Saccharomyces cerevisiae S288C: one gene and its partners. Changing the gene in region 1 together with any one later gene gives a genetic interaction. Each region holds a gene or a part of one and is shown on either strand. Other genes may lie near its edges. The genes, in order: GRC3, FEX2, PGU1 and RGT2.

The links.
Region 2: mutations in GRC3 (region 1) and FEX2 together harm fitness more than expected from each alone (negative genetic interaction), as found in Saccharomyces cerevisiae (one large-scale study listed by BioGRID).
Region 3: mutations in GRC3 (region 1) and PGU1 together harm fitness more than expected from each alone (negative genetic interaction), as found in Saccharomyces cerevisiae (one large-scale study listed by BioGRID).
Region 4: mutations in GRC3 (region 1) and RGT2 together harm fitness more than expected from each alone (negative genetic interaction), as found in Saccharomyces cerevisiae (one large-scale study listed by BioGRID).

What each region holds. Positions count from the first base shown.
Region 1 is NC_001144.5:66,965-70,981, forward strand, and holds GRC3 (polynucleotide 5'-hydroxyl-kinase), read left to right. Parts: upstream 1-1,615; coding exon 1,616-3,514; downstream 3,515-4,017. Other genes in the region: E3 ubiquitin-protein ligase PRP19, read right to left, coding at 1-1,292; putative AAA family ATPase RIX7, read right to left, coding at 3,669-4,017. UniProt on the Saccharomyces cerevisiae protein: Polynucleotide 5'-kinase involved in rRNA processing. Required for the efficient termination by RNA polymerase I and the processing of the IST2 pre-rRNA internal transcribed spacer localized between the 5.8S and 25S rRNAs.
Region 2 is NC_001148.4:12,691-16,168, reverse strand, and holds FEX2 (fluoride transporter), read left to right. Parts: upstream 1-1,813; coding exon 1,814-2,941; downstream 2,942-3,478. Other genes in the region: YPL277C (uncharacterized protein), read left to right, coding at 1-764; YPL278C (uncharacterized protein), read left to right, coding at 814-1,116. UniProt on the Saccharomyces cerevisiae protein: Fluoride channel required for the rapid expulsion of cytoplasmic fluoride.
Region 3 is NC_001142.9:721,120-724,426, forward strand, and holds PGU1 (endo-polygalacturonase), read left to right. Parts: upstream 1-1,695; coding exon 1,696-2,781; downstream 2,782-3,307. Other genes in the region: DAL5 (allantoate permease), read left to right, coding at 1-178.
Region 4 is NC_001136.10:211,464-216,149, forward strand, and holds RGT2 (glucose sensor), read left to right. Parts: upstream 1-1,887; coding exon 1,888-4,179; downstream 4,180-4,686. Other genes in the region: SCM3 (Scm3p), read right to left, coding at 1-583. UniProt on the Saccharomyces cerevisiae protein: Low-affinity high glucose sensor that is part of the sensor/receptor-repressor (SSR) glucose-signaling pathway, which detects extracellular glucose and induces expression of glucose transporters that bring glucose into the cell.

The DNA of each region.
Region 1 (4,017 bases):
GAGTCGTCAATGTCATAGGTAACGGTGCCCGTCTTGAATTCTGGGATTGTGTAAGTTGGATACGCTAGCGTGCCGACATCCTTTCTTAGGTCAAAGCAAACCACAGTTTGGTCACACTCTACTACCATCCAGTACCCATTGTCTGCAAATTTAACCTCTTTTATCTTGGCTTCTTCATCTACGGGGAATCTAGAGCTTGCCTGGTCAGGTGATGACAAGTTGTAAACGTCTAATATACCGTCCGGAGAGTAAAGGGCTAATAATAATGAATCCTTATGTAGGACACCGCTGCTGTACTCAACATCTGATTTAGCAGAATGAACAATATACTGGGAATCATCCTCGTAGGATTGAAATCCTATGGTTCCTCTATTATCCGCCCAGATGAAGTACTCTGTGTTGACCTCGTTGTGACCATACATATATATAATCTCATTGGCGGAATCTACCTCTATTTCTCTGAGGACTTTGTTTGTTTTTGAGTCCAATATAGTTATTTGGTTACCTGGATATAGTAGTAGCAAACGATTACAAGGCCCTCTGGAAATAATAGCTGGATGCTCTCCCCCGGTACGGGGATTTGGTGTAGTTATTGTGGTAATCGTTTTCGAATCTTTTAATTGGGTAAAATGTAAAGCACCATCCTCACAGCGACACATGCACACCCATTTATCATAGTACATAGATTTGTTAAGCTCTTTATATGGGAATGTTTTGATGTTACGGGAGTAATTTTGTGCCTGTAATAGCTCCAAATTTTTTAAAATCGGCCATTTGGGTGCTTTGAGCTTGCCCCTCGCTACAAAGTCTCTAGAAGATTGTAACAGCCCTTGTAAAAATTCTTCTCTCGTAATAGCTACCGCTTGCTGTGAGGATTTGGGTAAATCCTTCGAATCTTCGTTTTTTTCCATCAATAGTTGCGCAGCGACCAACTTTGCAGCATCTCTTTCGTACATTACAGTCGACAGTTTTTTCGTTAAACTATCTAGAGTTGATCGTAACTTAAAGTTTTCGAGCATTATAGCATCCCATTCATTCTGTAAACTTGTCAACAGATTCGGAATCGAATAATTCGCTTTTAACGTAGCAGAGTTTGTAGACTCTGTTAGTGAGGCTTGTTGCGCACTAGGTACGATTTCCACTATTTCTTCGATGCTTAAGGGCTCATTTGTTATCGGATCATTCCCCGTATCTTTAACATACTGTTCAAGGAGCGACTTTTCAAAAATAGTCCTGGATTTAGGTGATAGAACTGGCCTTCTAGGAACTTTCCCACTAATAGCACAAAGCATTGTTCCCTAGTTGGCTTTCTTGGCTATGTTTTGGTCTTTAATATTTCTTGGAAAGTTTGCATCTTTCTAAAATTGCCCTTACGAATTTTTCACCGCTGCTACCCGAAAAAGTACGAAATTTATCAACATGAAATTTATTCCTGCCAAGTCATCGAGTGCTCTGCGCCTAAGGCTTAGGTTGCATTTAAGTTGTCTTAATTCACGCTTATAGTGCAGGTAGTATAGGTTCCCCACTCCTGATCTTTCCCTTCTGAAATAAGGAAAGACTGCAGTTTAGTTTGGCAGAGAGAAGAAGATAATCATTTCTATTATATTCTACCGCTATGGTGATAGATTCCAAACAGGATCTACCTCAATATACCAAAGATTCAGGTTCAGAATCGGACTCAGACTCAAGTAATAATTTCATTGTGGAATCTCCGTCAATTCCATCTTCAAAAAGTGCAACCGTAGTTCTCAATAGTGAAGAGTATGAGGACGACGAAGGTGATGACTTGAACGGGCTGGATGCTGAATTGATCGATAATATAACGTATGAAGGAGATGAAGATGAAACTATGTTTGTGGGGTTGAAAGAAAAACAGAAGTTACATTTATCTGGTGTTTTCCGGCTGCAAGTGGTGAAAGGAGGTATTGTCTACAACAATGTACACTATAACGCTTCGAGAGAAATTTTAACCTTCTGGCACCCGTTATCACAGTCCATACCTACTATAGATTTTTCGCACTTTGCAGGCTGGCAAGACACTTTTTTTATGCCGAGAAACAACAGGTTTAAAATTAGAGATGAAGAATTCAAATCATTTCCATGTGTTCTTCGCGTTTTTAATTCTAATCATACGGGCTTGTTAGAAGCAGGTCATTTATATCGGGATGTTAATTATCTATGGAAACCTAAAGAACCTTACTTTCCATTAAACGAGAGAACAACGTATCATTTATTACATGAGTCAGACCGAATTCAATCTTTATCCGTGCCGGGATATTGGTCAACTCCGTTAGAGAAGTTATATTTGAGTCACAAGAACGCTGCGTATGATACAAGAATCATGGTGATTGGTGGTAAAAACTCTGGGAAGTCTACATTCTTGAGGCTTTTATTGGAAAAATTTACGCAAGATATACGAGATTCTACTACGAGCCAGGAAGAATTGGTATACCTGGATTTAGATCCTGGTCAACCTGAATACTCACTACCTGATTCAATATCCCTGAATAAGATTCTTTCCAGCCCTATTTCTCTCGGACAACATCTCTGCCAAGGTTCAAATTTCCAAACTTTGTTACAGTTCTACGCTGGCTCCTCTTCCCCGCAGGACGAGCCCACATCATACCTGAACTGCGCTGATAAACTTATAGACCATTTGGAAGAGCAAGCCTTCTTCGGAACGTCATTGCTTAATCTACCTGGGTGGATAAAAGGATTCGGGATGCAGATTTTAAATCATATAATAAGGAAATATAAGCCCACTCACTTATTGTTTTTGGAAACAGCTAATTCGAAAAGACACCTGGATGAACTAACAATTCCACAGAGTTTTTCCACATCACTACGAGATGCATATGCACCTGAAGTTGTTCGCGTTCCAGCCCATAGTCTGAACCACACCTTATCTTCTAGGTTCCATGCATCACAACTGAGAACATTCAAAATACTGGCACTGTTTCATAAAATAACTCAATTTGATTATGATTTTGCGCCTCTTTTAAAATCTGCACCTTTGCAAATTTCATATGGCAAAGGTAAAAGCGGTATTAAAGGCATTCAATTTCCTATGGAATTCCAGGATCTGAATCCTCAAGATATCAAGTCCGCATTGGAAGGTACTGTCATTGGGATATATACATATTCTGGAGAAGACTCACTAGAGGTGAAATCCTTGAATACCTTTCCCATCCTACAATCGTGTACTTCTTCTTCTAAAAATTTCATAACTCTGGGGCTGATACACTCTATTGACACCTCCCAGCAAATAATGAACATTTACGTGCCACCTTGCCATACCCAGATTTTAGATAAACAACCTGAGGATGCTCAATGGATAATAGTAAGAAATAAGACGGAAACTCCTTTTTGTGACTTTCTTCCATCCCCCCGCACAATTACATGGGATGATAATATACAAATACCGTTCGCAACTTTTGAAAGAAGGAAAAAATTGGAACATGTGTGGAAAGTTCGTAAGAACGTCATGAGACGTGGCCAATTCATGAAAAGATAGAAAGAAAAGGTAATCGTACATTTTTTAATAGTGAAAGATAGAGGATACACAAAAATCATGCAAAGTTTTATATATTTGTTATGTATACTCATATTCCTTCAATATCTAAGTCATACTAACTTCTAGGGACTTTACCAAAATATTATTTATAAATTTATTGTTTCATTTCTTCCGCATCCTTCATCTCCTCCGTTAAACCCATTTTCTTATTTAATCTATCATATTTCAGTCTATCTTTATCGCTCACAGAGGGTTTAATCTTTCTTAATGCACTTCGGAAGTCAGACATGGTCACAATAATTTCTTCGCCAGATACGCCAACCGATAGATCCTCAAATTCCTTGTCTAAGTCATTATCAAGAACAGATTGTATTTCTTCGCTCTGAAAAAACTTCCTTTTTAGAGCCAAGACTGAACTCTCCCTGACTAAAGCAGCCAAGTCAGCGCCTGAAAAATTGTTGCACTTCTCATTTCTGATAATTTCTTCAAAATCAACATCGCTA
Region 2 (3,478 bases), on another chromosome or scaffold:
TCTACGCTGCTAGAATATGCAAATGGGGGAAGCCATTCGGGCTTGACGGAATTATCAGGGTAGAGGTTGGCTTTGAGGTCGTTTTGTGTGATTTTTCGGCTGATAACGTCGAACTTGTTTCAATGTTAGAAATGGTCCAGCCTAACCAGTACCTAGGCTTACCAGCACCTACCGTAATATCGAAGGAAGAAGGTTGGCCTCTGGATGAAAATGGAAGCCTAGTTGAAGATCAGCTAACAGATGACCAAAAGGCGATTCTGGAAAGAGAAGATGGTTGGGAGAAGGCTTTTTCTAATTTCAACGCAGTTAAAAGCTTCAATCAGTTGAGAGCGGGTGCAGCGCATGACAACGGGGAGCATCGAATCCATATCGACTATAGGTACCTAGTGAGCGGGATAAACAGGACGTACATTGCTCCTGATCCTAACAACAGAAGATTACTCGATGAAGGAATGACATGGGAAAAGCAATTGGACATGGTAGATGACTTAGAAAAGGCGCTGGAAGTCGGATTTGATGCCACGCAAAGTATGGATTGGCAGTTAGCATTTGATGAGCTTGTCCTTAAATTTGCTCCATTACTAAAATCTGTTAGTAACATACTGAACAGCGATGGTGATATTAATGAGTCAATTGCCATCAATGCAACAGCACTCACATTGAACTTTTGTCTACCAATATGTGAGCCCATACCAGGCCTTAAAAACGGATGCAGACTTTTTGATTTGGTCATCTGCTGTCAGCGTTGTCGGAGAAATTGTTGATGTCATTTATAAAGTGAATGATTTATTGATACCCGAAGTCTACTCTTTTATGACAGATAACACAACTTCCAGCGACTTAATAAAGAATGTCGAAACGGCTCGCTCCACTATCGATGGTTTAATTGAATCTCTAGGGTGGATTGAACTAAATTACCGTTGTGAGAGGCAATGCAATTGGGATGAAGTTTGTTACACTCCTTCCTGGGGCCCATCTCCAATGGGTATGACTGAACCAGGTTCCCACAATGAGGGATTTGGAACCCACTTTGATGAATCTCGACAAAGGTTGGTTATTAACAGTAAACTACAGTGTATCAATATAAATGATTTGATGGTTAATCGTAATCATTAGCGCCTCATGTGAGCAGGCCATTGTGGGACAGTATGAAGGGTATGATTTCTAGATAATCCAATAATAATTATGAAGTTTTTGAGATTTGGGGTGATACACATCTATGAATTACTAAGAGATTTGAGACACAGCGACAGTCATGCCAGCAAGATTTAAGATTTTCTTTATTTAGTGTTTATATACATATCAGATATCTGTTGAGTATTTTCTATTTTACCAAAAAAAAAAGATATGAAATCAAGATAAAACGTCGTATGAAAGACAAGGGAGCTCAGCAGCAATATCATAAAGTAAAGCAACAGCGCTTGGTTCATGTACAATGAACGATCTGAAAATTATTTGGCAGCGGTGCTACGAATACATGTCGATATTACGTTACGATTGTCTAACAGGGGAGGAGAATCGTGCACTTTGATGGGTATATCGAAAAGATGGTGACTCTGCTAGAGTCACTGTCAGTGAGGAGTTGCGATGTATGAAAGATTCACTGACATAAAGTGGCGCGATTCATGTAGCAGTGTAAATCACTTTTGACGCAATGATGGAAGAGATACGGAAGAGATACGGAAAAAATAAAACAAAAAACAACTGAAATAAGTACTAAAGGATTATATTTATTGCCGCCATTATTATTTAGCGTCTGGTGGCTCAAGAATCTGCAGTTATTTAATTATTTAATCGAGCGTGTAATGCTCTGATGATTTTCAATCCGGTCATATCAAATCACAAGTTGAGCCATTATATTCATGTTTTTTGTACATTCACCACGTTCTGCATATTAGGTACTGAAACACGTCAGGCTATAACGGCGCTTTCCACCTACACTCCGGCCTTCGTTACTGCTCCGACCGTTCTCTGGTCTAATTGTTCATCCTGCATGCTAATGGGGATTATGCAATCTTTAAATGCTTACACTTGGATGAAAGATCACCAAGTCTTGTTTTTAGGTGTAACTACTGGGTACTGTGGTGCCCTGTCTTCCTTTTCTAGTATGCTGCTAGAGATGTTCGAACACTCTACAAACTTAACTAACGGTAATATCGCTAACCACACAAAACTGCCGAACAGAGCTTACGGTATAATGGAGTTTTTATCTGTCTTGCTCGTTCATCTTATGGTTTCCATGGGTAGTCTTATTTTCGGTAGGCAACTTGGTAAGGAGGTTATTGTTGCTTATGGATCTAGTTCGTTTTCGAAGCCATATACCCCTCCCTCAGACACTGTAAAGGAAAATGCTGGTGATGTTGATACACAAGAAATGGAAAAAAATATTCTAGAGTTTAAATTCAAAACTCCAGCACCATTTTTTAAGAAATTTTTTGATGTTGTGGATAAACTCGCGTACGCACTAGCTTTTCCATTAATTATTTTGTTTGTGGTGCTGTGTGCGTATTATGAGAACTATTCGAGGGGCAAGTGGACACTACCATGTCTATTTGGAATTTTCGCTGGTTTCCTAAGATATTGGTTGGCAGAAATGTTTAATAAAACAAACAAAAAGTTTCCATTGGGTACTTTCTTGGCAAACGTTTTCGCCACTTTATTGATTGGCATATTTACCATGGTGCAACGTGGTAAAAAACACTTTTCCACGGATATTCCAATTGTGAACTCGTTGAATTCATGCCATATTGTTTCTGCGTTAATATCCGGATTTTGCGGCACTTTGAGTACCATTAGCACGTTTATCAATGAAGGGTATAAGCTATCATTTATTAACATGCTTATTTATTATACTGTTTCGATTGGAATTTCATATTGCTTATTGGTGATAACTCTCGGATCCTATGCTTGGACTAGAGGATTGACTAACCCGATTTGTTAGGATCTTTTCTTCATACCTTTTCCTGCACAATCATCCCACCTTTTTTTTTTTTTAATTCATTTTCAAGATTTTAGACGTTGTATAATACATTTTTACCGACTACTGCGGTTTATTGTAATATTTTGTGAGATTTTATGAATGCGTTCCATCATCTATTTACTACAAAACGATAAATTTCCCCGTTTTCTTTTACTTTTACTTCATTTAATATAATTCATATTTATTTCCTATGTACCAATTAATTACTTCTAAAAAGAACAGAAATAGAAAAAAGTTGTATATAACAAGCCAAAAAAAAGAAAAAAAAAGGAAAAAAAAGAAAACACAGCTTATTTCAAATTGCAATCTGCGTATTTCGTAAGTAACGAATGATCTCACAGCATTGCTTTTTTTTTTTTTATATATATATGTACATTACCTATGTCACATATGACCATGATGAGTACAACACTAAAAACCAAGGCCTACTATTCAATTGTTCTCTATATGATTTCCATTCTAGCAAAATCGAGTGCTACCGACCTGCCGTTTTCTTTA
Region 3 (3,307 bases), on another chromosome or scaffold:
GGTCGTATGTTATGCTGTTATGATCGTGCTTCTATCTATACTGCTCATCGTCAATTTAAGGGAAAACAAGAGACGTGATAAGATAGCTGCCGAGAGAGGGTTCCCTGAAGAAACAGAGAATTTAGAGTTTTCTGATTTGACTGATTTTGAAAATCCAAATTTCAGATACACTTTATGAAATAGTGGTGAGATACACTGACATTATTGTTATCAGAGAAGAATATATAAAACTAAAATACTTAATATCAAAATAAGGAATTTTTTATCAAAGTAGAATTTCTGTAAGCTACATTCTCTTGGTGTAGAAGATTTCTCGACTGATGTAAAGGACAAGTCGACTTGTCCTGCCTCATACATACTTGACGATGAAGAGCAAGATACTGAGCACGTGAATCGAGGAACAGGTAAGGATACCTCGAGAAATGAAAAAAAAAAGTTGATCAGCCGTACTTGAAAATTAAATTTGGCGGTGAGAAAGACAATATCGTAATGAAAATGATTCTGACGACCCTTTGATAGTGGCAATGATCAAAAAGAAAAAAAAAAGATAAGACGGTAGTGTGAAGATGACATATAGCGCTACTCTATACTCGTCCAACTTCGAAAATAATATGTGGTCGTTGGTACGTTCAGATAAGAGAATACATCTCGCGCGTACGCATAATTGTGGTCTAAAAAACCGCTGAAATTTTCTCAATACTGAATAGAATCACGCTACTACGACAAGACTCGGTTACTGTGCCTAAAATAATCCTGTGATAAACGAGTTATGTTAAACGCAGTACAGGGGTTAAAGGGCATTGAGTTTTTGTGAGTGGAAATGCCCCCGTTATAGCTTCCAGTTTAATTACAAATTATCAATTTAAGCAAATATAACTGGAGGATTGGGGAGGCGACTAAAAATGGCTACCACGCTATTAGACATACAACATTGAGTATTTTATGTAATTTTGTTACTGCTAGCACGGCCATGCAATTGGCAACTGAAAGCTATCTGACAACTTAAATGATTCTTAAAACAATGACGACTATAATCTTCTCTAAGAAGTTTCATATCCATCTTCCTCATTATTCAGTTTCTTTTTCCTCTTGAAAGTATCGTAAAGAACAACGTCTTCACATTAGCTATTAGAAGACCATTGAACTACCGGATATGAGTAAGAGTGATCTTGCCGTAGAGATAATAGCTGCACAAAGGCCAAGGATTAGATTAATGGGTGCATTGTACGAAAAAAAATAGTTTACAGTCATTTATTCGCAATAAATCAATTTTTTTTTCAAAAAATATGTAAGTCTGATAAAAAATTCTTCACTGAAGAGAGATGCTTACATTCTAATTCTTGAATAAAAGACTCTCTAACGCTGTGAATTCTCTTTAGCTGTAACGGAAACAGAGAGTTATTCCGTAGTCACTGAATTTTTTTTTTTTGACGCTATTATTTAAAACCTAGGATATCCGTCCCATACAAAACGGCCACGAGTTTCAATCCCAGAATGTACGAGTTATAATTCTCCTAGATGCATGATACTCGTGCATTCGTTTAACAATCATACCAATTTCCCATTTTCGGGATATTAAACATGAACATACTTTTTTACTGTGAGAATGTGGTTTCACAATTATTCCATACAGGTATAAAAACGCACAGAACTTCAAACGGGAAGACTATCTACCCACATTGATGGACAAACGCAATGATTTCTGCTAATTCATTACTTATTTCCACTTTGTGCGCTTTTGCGATCGCAACACCTTTGTCAAAAAGAGATTCCTGTACCCTAACAGGATCTTCTTTGTCTTCACTCTCAACCGTGAAAAAATGTAGCAGCATCGTTATTAAAGACTTAACTGTCCCAGCTGGACAGACTTTAGATTTAACTGGGTTAAGCAGTGGTACTACTGTTACGTTTGAAGGCACAACCACATTTCAGTACAAGGAATGGAGCGGCCCTTTAATTTCAATCTCAGGGTCTAAAATCAGCGTTGTTGGTGCTTCGGGACATACCATTGATGGTCAAGGAGCAAAATGGTGGGATGGCTTAGGTGATAGCGGTAAAGTCAAACCGAAGTTTGTAAAGTTGGCGTTGACGGGAACATCTAAGGTCACCGGATTGAATATTAAAAATGCTCCACACCAAGTCTTCAGCATCAATAAATGTTCAGATTTAACCATCAGCGACATAACAATTGATATCAGAGACGGTGATTCGGCTGGTGGTCATAATACGGATGGGTTTGATGTTGGTAGTTCTAGTAACGTCTTAATTCAAGGATGTACTGTTTATAATCAGGATGACTGTATTGCTGTGAATTCCGGTTCAACTATTAAATTTATGAACAACTACTGCTACAATGGCCATGGTATTTCTGTAGGTTCTGTTGGTGGCCGTTCTGATAATACAGTCAATGGTTTCTGGGCTGAAAATAACCATGTTATCAACTCTGACAACGGGTTGAGAATAAAAACCGTAGAAGGTGCGACAGGCACAGTCACTAATGTCAACTTTATCAGTAATAAAATTAGCGGCATAAAAAGTTATGGTATTGTTATCGAAGGCGATTATTTGAATAGTAAGACTACTGGAACTGCTACAGGTGGCGTTCCCATTTCGAATTTAGTAATGAAGGATATCACCGGGAGCGTGAACTCCACAGCGAAGAGGGTTAAAATTTTGGTGAAAAACGCTACTAACTGGCAATGGTCTGGGGTGTCAATTACCGGTGGTTCTTCCTATTCTGGATGTTCTGGAATCCCATCTGGATCTGGTGCAAGCTGTTAATCCTCTTTTAAAGTACTCATATGACTATACATACCTTCTTTTCTTTTCTTTACTATTCAATACATAACAGAACAAAGATGCAGGAAAATATTGGTATTTGTTCGGCAATTTATGCTGGGTTTTTTTGTAAATTCAGGTCTAATTATTACTGTTGATTTGTATCAAGTTGGTATCTTTTTTGCCATTTAATAATAGAGATACGCTATGCTCATCCGGATAGCAACAATGAGAGCCTAAAAGTCCTAATTGAGAAGAAAATCTCTGTTCAAGACTATAGTTTATGTTTCATTCTGGACCCTTGGGATCGTCTGAAACAGGAAGGTCAATAATTGGTAAAAAAAATGGTAAATGCGACTAAGTACTACAATTGAAACGAATGAGCGCACTTCATCTGCCTACAAAACGCTGCGGCTGAAAAAGTTACATAAAAAACCGTCCTCAATAGCGTTAATCCAGCGTACATGAGAAAGTAATGACAAAGTCTTCGGTAATATCAGTGCATCTACCAATATGACACAATTGTGAA
Region 4 (4,686 bases), on another chromosome or scaffold:
CGTTGTCAGCATCCACCTCTGAATCGCTTGCCTCGCTATCGTTAGCCCAAAGAGTATATTCATCATTTTTATCACCATCTTCCTCGTCGCTGATGTCGATAATGTCTCTGAGCACGCTTGTGTATTTTGTTCTTTTATCTTTCGTGCTGTTGTTGGCCGTCAGCGTCTTGATATGCCCATTATCTTCAACTATTTCACCAGTTTTCAGGTCTACGAGGTCTCCTTGTTCTTCAATAGACTCGTATTTGCTTATGATGTTGGACCACACTTTTCTCATGTTTTCGTCTGCTAGTTTGTGGCGCTCCATGACTTCATCATCGGTTAGTTTAGGGATGATGTGGTTTTCCTTGGACATTATATACACATGACCATTTCTTTCAGCAATTGGCCGTGAAATTCCATCGTCCTTTTTGGTCTTCCGTTTTTCGATATTTGGCGGATATACTCGATGAACAGGATTGCAATCGCTATGTTTTCGTATTTTGGACTCACTCTTCTTGCCGGACTCTTTCAATAGTCCTTTTAAGGCACCATGGAGATTTTTCAGGCTTCTTCTTTTAGAAATTTTCTTATTGGTTTTCATCCTTCTGTTAATTTGTAGTGGAGGCGTCGATATGCTGTATCCCACTTTTTGTTTATATATCATCTGATCCATTAGCTGAAAAATCGCGGTACTGAAGCTTTTTTCATGGCGCCCTTGAAACTTTCTCCTTCCGCCTGCGCATTATATAAAATACGTTACAATAGGAAAAGATGACAGTTACTTAAAGTAAAGCTTCACAGCTTCAGACAAAAAAAGTATGAAACTTGTGAAGATGTTTTTATGCTGATCCGGCAGACGGCCATTCCATTATTTAGTTCTGATTTTAGTGGAAAAACTTTCGAAACTTAAAATAATAATAGCCCATTCTTGGACTGAGGTACATTTTCTTCTTATTGGATTTCGTTTATTAGCTGTTTAACATATTTCTGTAGGGTTTTTTTTTTTTTTTTTGTACAGATTAGAAACCATACAGTGTAAACCATTATATAGGTCAATTAATATATTTATAGATCATCCTGTCAATTTTTTTTTATTTTTTTTTGCAAAGCTCCCTTTTTCCTGAAACCAACAACAAAATATAAAAAAAAAATGATAAGCAGGATTTTTTCTTTTAATAATTCCTTAAAATTAACTAACAAGCTGAAGCCCTTACAACAAAGTAAGTCAAACCCAATTCACAAAAAAAAAATCTGTTTTATTTCAGATATGCAGGGTATATACATGGCACAGATAACCTTTTAATGAAAAGTAGCAATTGTGATACTAGCGCCTTTTTCCTTGCAAGAAAAGGGTTCCCTGTTCCTGCATCGTCCATCGGCATAGAGATGTCGCCGCTACCCTATCCAATTCTACCGCATGCCTAACAAAATGATTTCCGATTTTTTCAATCTAACTCCGTCATTTCTTATCTGAGTTTTCCTCCCCGAGATAAATTGAACAAAGAATTTAATCGGCTCATATGTGAAAAAGTGTGATACTTACCGCAATGGGCAAAAATTATTAAAAAAAATCTAATTCCGCGCTTGGCTATTATCTCATTACCGACTCAACGGTGACTACCTGCCGTACACGCTTCCCCTTTGCTTCTTCCTCCACCTCGAAAGTAGAACATATACATGGAACAGACATAAGCTCTTCAGCGTATCTATTTCATAAGTGGAGAGCATCGAACAATAAACCTTTGCCTAATTTCATATAACATCCAGTATTCATTTTTTTTAGTTGACGCTAAGGCATTCGCTTGTGAAATTAAAGAGCAGATCAGGAATAGTATCAATAGTCTAAACCATCAAGTTGCACAGAAACCACTATATATATATGGAAATATCTCGAATATTGCTTGTATGAACGATAGCCAAAACTGCCTACGACAGAGGGAAGAAAATAGTCATCTGAATCCTGGAAATGACTTCGGCCACCACCAGGGTGCAGAATGTACGATAAATCATAACAACATGCCACACCGCAATGCATACACAGAATCTACGAATGACACGGAAGCAAAGTCCATAGTGATGTGCGACGATCCTAACGCATACCAAATTTCCTACACAAATAATGAGCCGGCGGGAGATGGAGCTATAGAAACCACGTCCATTCTACTATCGCAACCGCTGCCGCTGCGATCGAATGTGATGTCTGTCTTGGTAGGCATATTTGTTGCCGTGGGGGGCTTCTTGTTTGGGTATGACACTGGACTTATAAACAGTATCACGGATATGCCGTATGTTAAAACCTACATTGCTCCGAACCATTCATATTTCACCACTAGCCAAATAGCCATACTCGTATCATTCCTCTCCCTAGGAACATTTTTCGGTGCGTTAATCGCTCCCTATATTTCAGATTCATATGGTAGGAAGCCAACAATTATGTTTAGTACCGCTGTTATCTTTTCCATCGGAAACTCATTACAGGTGGCATCCGGTGGCTTGGTGCTATTAATCGTCGGAAGAGTGATCTCAGGTATCGGGATCGGGATAATCTCTGCTGTGGTTCCTCTTTATCAAGCTGAAGCTGCGCAGAAGAACCTTAGAGGTGCCATCATTTCCAGTTATCAGTGGGCTATCACTATTGGGTTACTCGTGTCCAGTGCAGTATCGCAAGGAACTCATTCCAAAAATGGCCCGTCTTCATATAGAATACCAATTGGTTTGCAGTACGTTTGGTCAAGTATTTTAGCTGTGGGCATGATATTCCTTCCAGAGAGTCCAAGATATTACGTCTTGAAGGATGAACTCAATAAAGCTGCAAAATCGTTATCCTTTTTAAGAGGCCTCCCGATCGAAGATCCAAGACTCTTAGAGGAGCTTGTTGAAATAAAAGCCACTTACGATTATGAAGCATCGTTCGGCCCGTCAACACTTTTAGATTGTTTCAAAACAAGTGAAAATAGACCCAAACAGATTTTACGAATATTTACTGGTATCGCCATACAAGCTTTTCAACAGGCATCTGGTATCAATTTTATATTCTACTATGGAGTTAATTTTTTCAACAACACAGGGGTGGACAACTCTTACTTGGTTTCTTTTATCAGCTATGCCGTCAACGTCGCCTTCAGTATACCGGGTATGTATTTAGTGGATCGAATTGGTAGAAGACCAGTCCTTCTTGCTGGAGGTGTCATAATGGCAATAGCAAATTTAGTCATTGCCATCGTTGGTGTTTCCGAGGGAAAAACTGTTGTTGCTAGTAAAATTATGATTGCTTTTATATGCCTTTTCATTGCTGCATTTTCGGCGACATGGGGTGGTGTCGTGTGGGTGGTATCTGCTGAACTGTACCCACTTGGTGTCAGATCGAAATGTACCGCCATATGCGCTGCCGCAAATTGGCTAGTTAATTTCACCTGTGCCCTGATTACACCTTACATTGTTGATGTCGGATCACACACTTCTTCAATGGGGCCCAAAATATTCTTCATTTGGGGCGGCTTAAATGTCGTGGCCGTTATCGTTGTTTATTTCGCTGTTTATGAAACGAGGGGATTGACTTTGGAAGAGATTGACGAGTTATTTAGAAAGGCCCCAAATAGCGTCATTTCTAGCAAATGGAACAAAAAAATAAGGAAAAGGTGCTTAGCCTTTCCCATTTCACAACAAATAGAGATGAAAACTAATATCAAGAACGCTGGAAAGTTGGACAACAACAACAGTCCAATTGTACAGGATGACAGCCACAACATAATCGATGTGGATGGATTCTTGGAGAACCAAATACAGTCCAATGATCATATGATTGCGGCGGATAAAGGAAGTGGCTCGTTAGTAAACATCATCGATACTGCCCCCCTAACATCTACAGAGTTTAAACCCGTGGAACATCCGCCAGTAAATTACGTCGACTTGGGGAATGGTTTGGGTCTGAATACATACAATAGAGGTCCTCCTTCTATCATTTCTGACTCTACTGATGAGTTCTATGAGGAAAATGACTCTTCTTATTACAATAACAACACTGAACGAAATGGAGCTAACAGCGTCAATACATATATGGCTCAACTAATCAATAGCTCATCTACTACAAGCAACGACACATCGTTCTCTCCATCACACAATAGCAATGCAAGAACGTCCTCTAATTGGACGAGTGACCTCGCTAGTAAGCACAGCCAATACACTTCCCCCCAATAAAAACCAATAGCATCTTACGATCGTTCGAGGTCTTATAAACCGTTTTATATAAATTATTCTTATACACGCACTCTTGAGTTTCTTTTAACATTCCAACATGATAGACATAGAAAAGAATTATAGATAACACATAACATTACTCACAAGTAGCCCATGAGTTTGATTTTTCCTCGTTAATTCGGTGTCAAGTGGAATACAAAATGGGTCAACTGATCATAACTATTACCCGGATAATCTACATCATGTGGTACGTTAACGATGTATGGTTTCCTAAATCACCGGGTTCCAGATGCGGGTTGTTGTTGTTCGATCTTGCACCTCCACGTACTCCTTTTGAATAGTACACATATACCCTTACAGGAGATCGGACGTGTGCGATTATTGTTACCTCGTCACCTGTTATCGGTTGAACTGTTTTAGCTCTTTCCATTCCCTTTGTTAATAGTAGTTTAATTCTTCGGAAACTTTCTACGCAGACTCAAGTTGCAATAGGCTAAAGATAAGGCA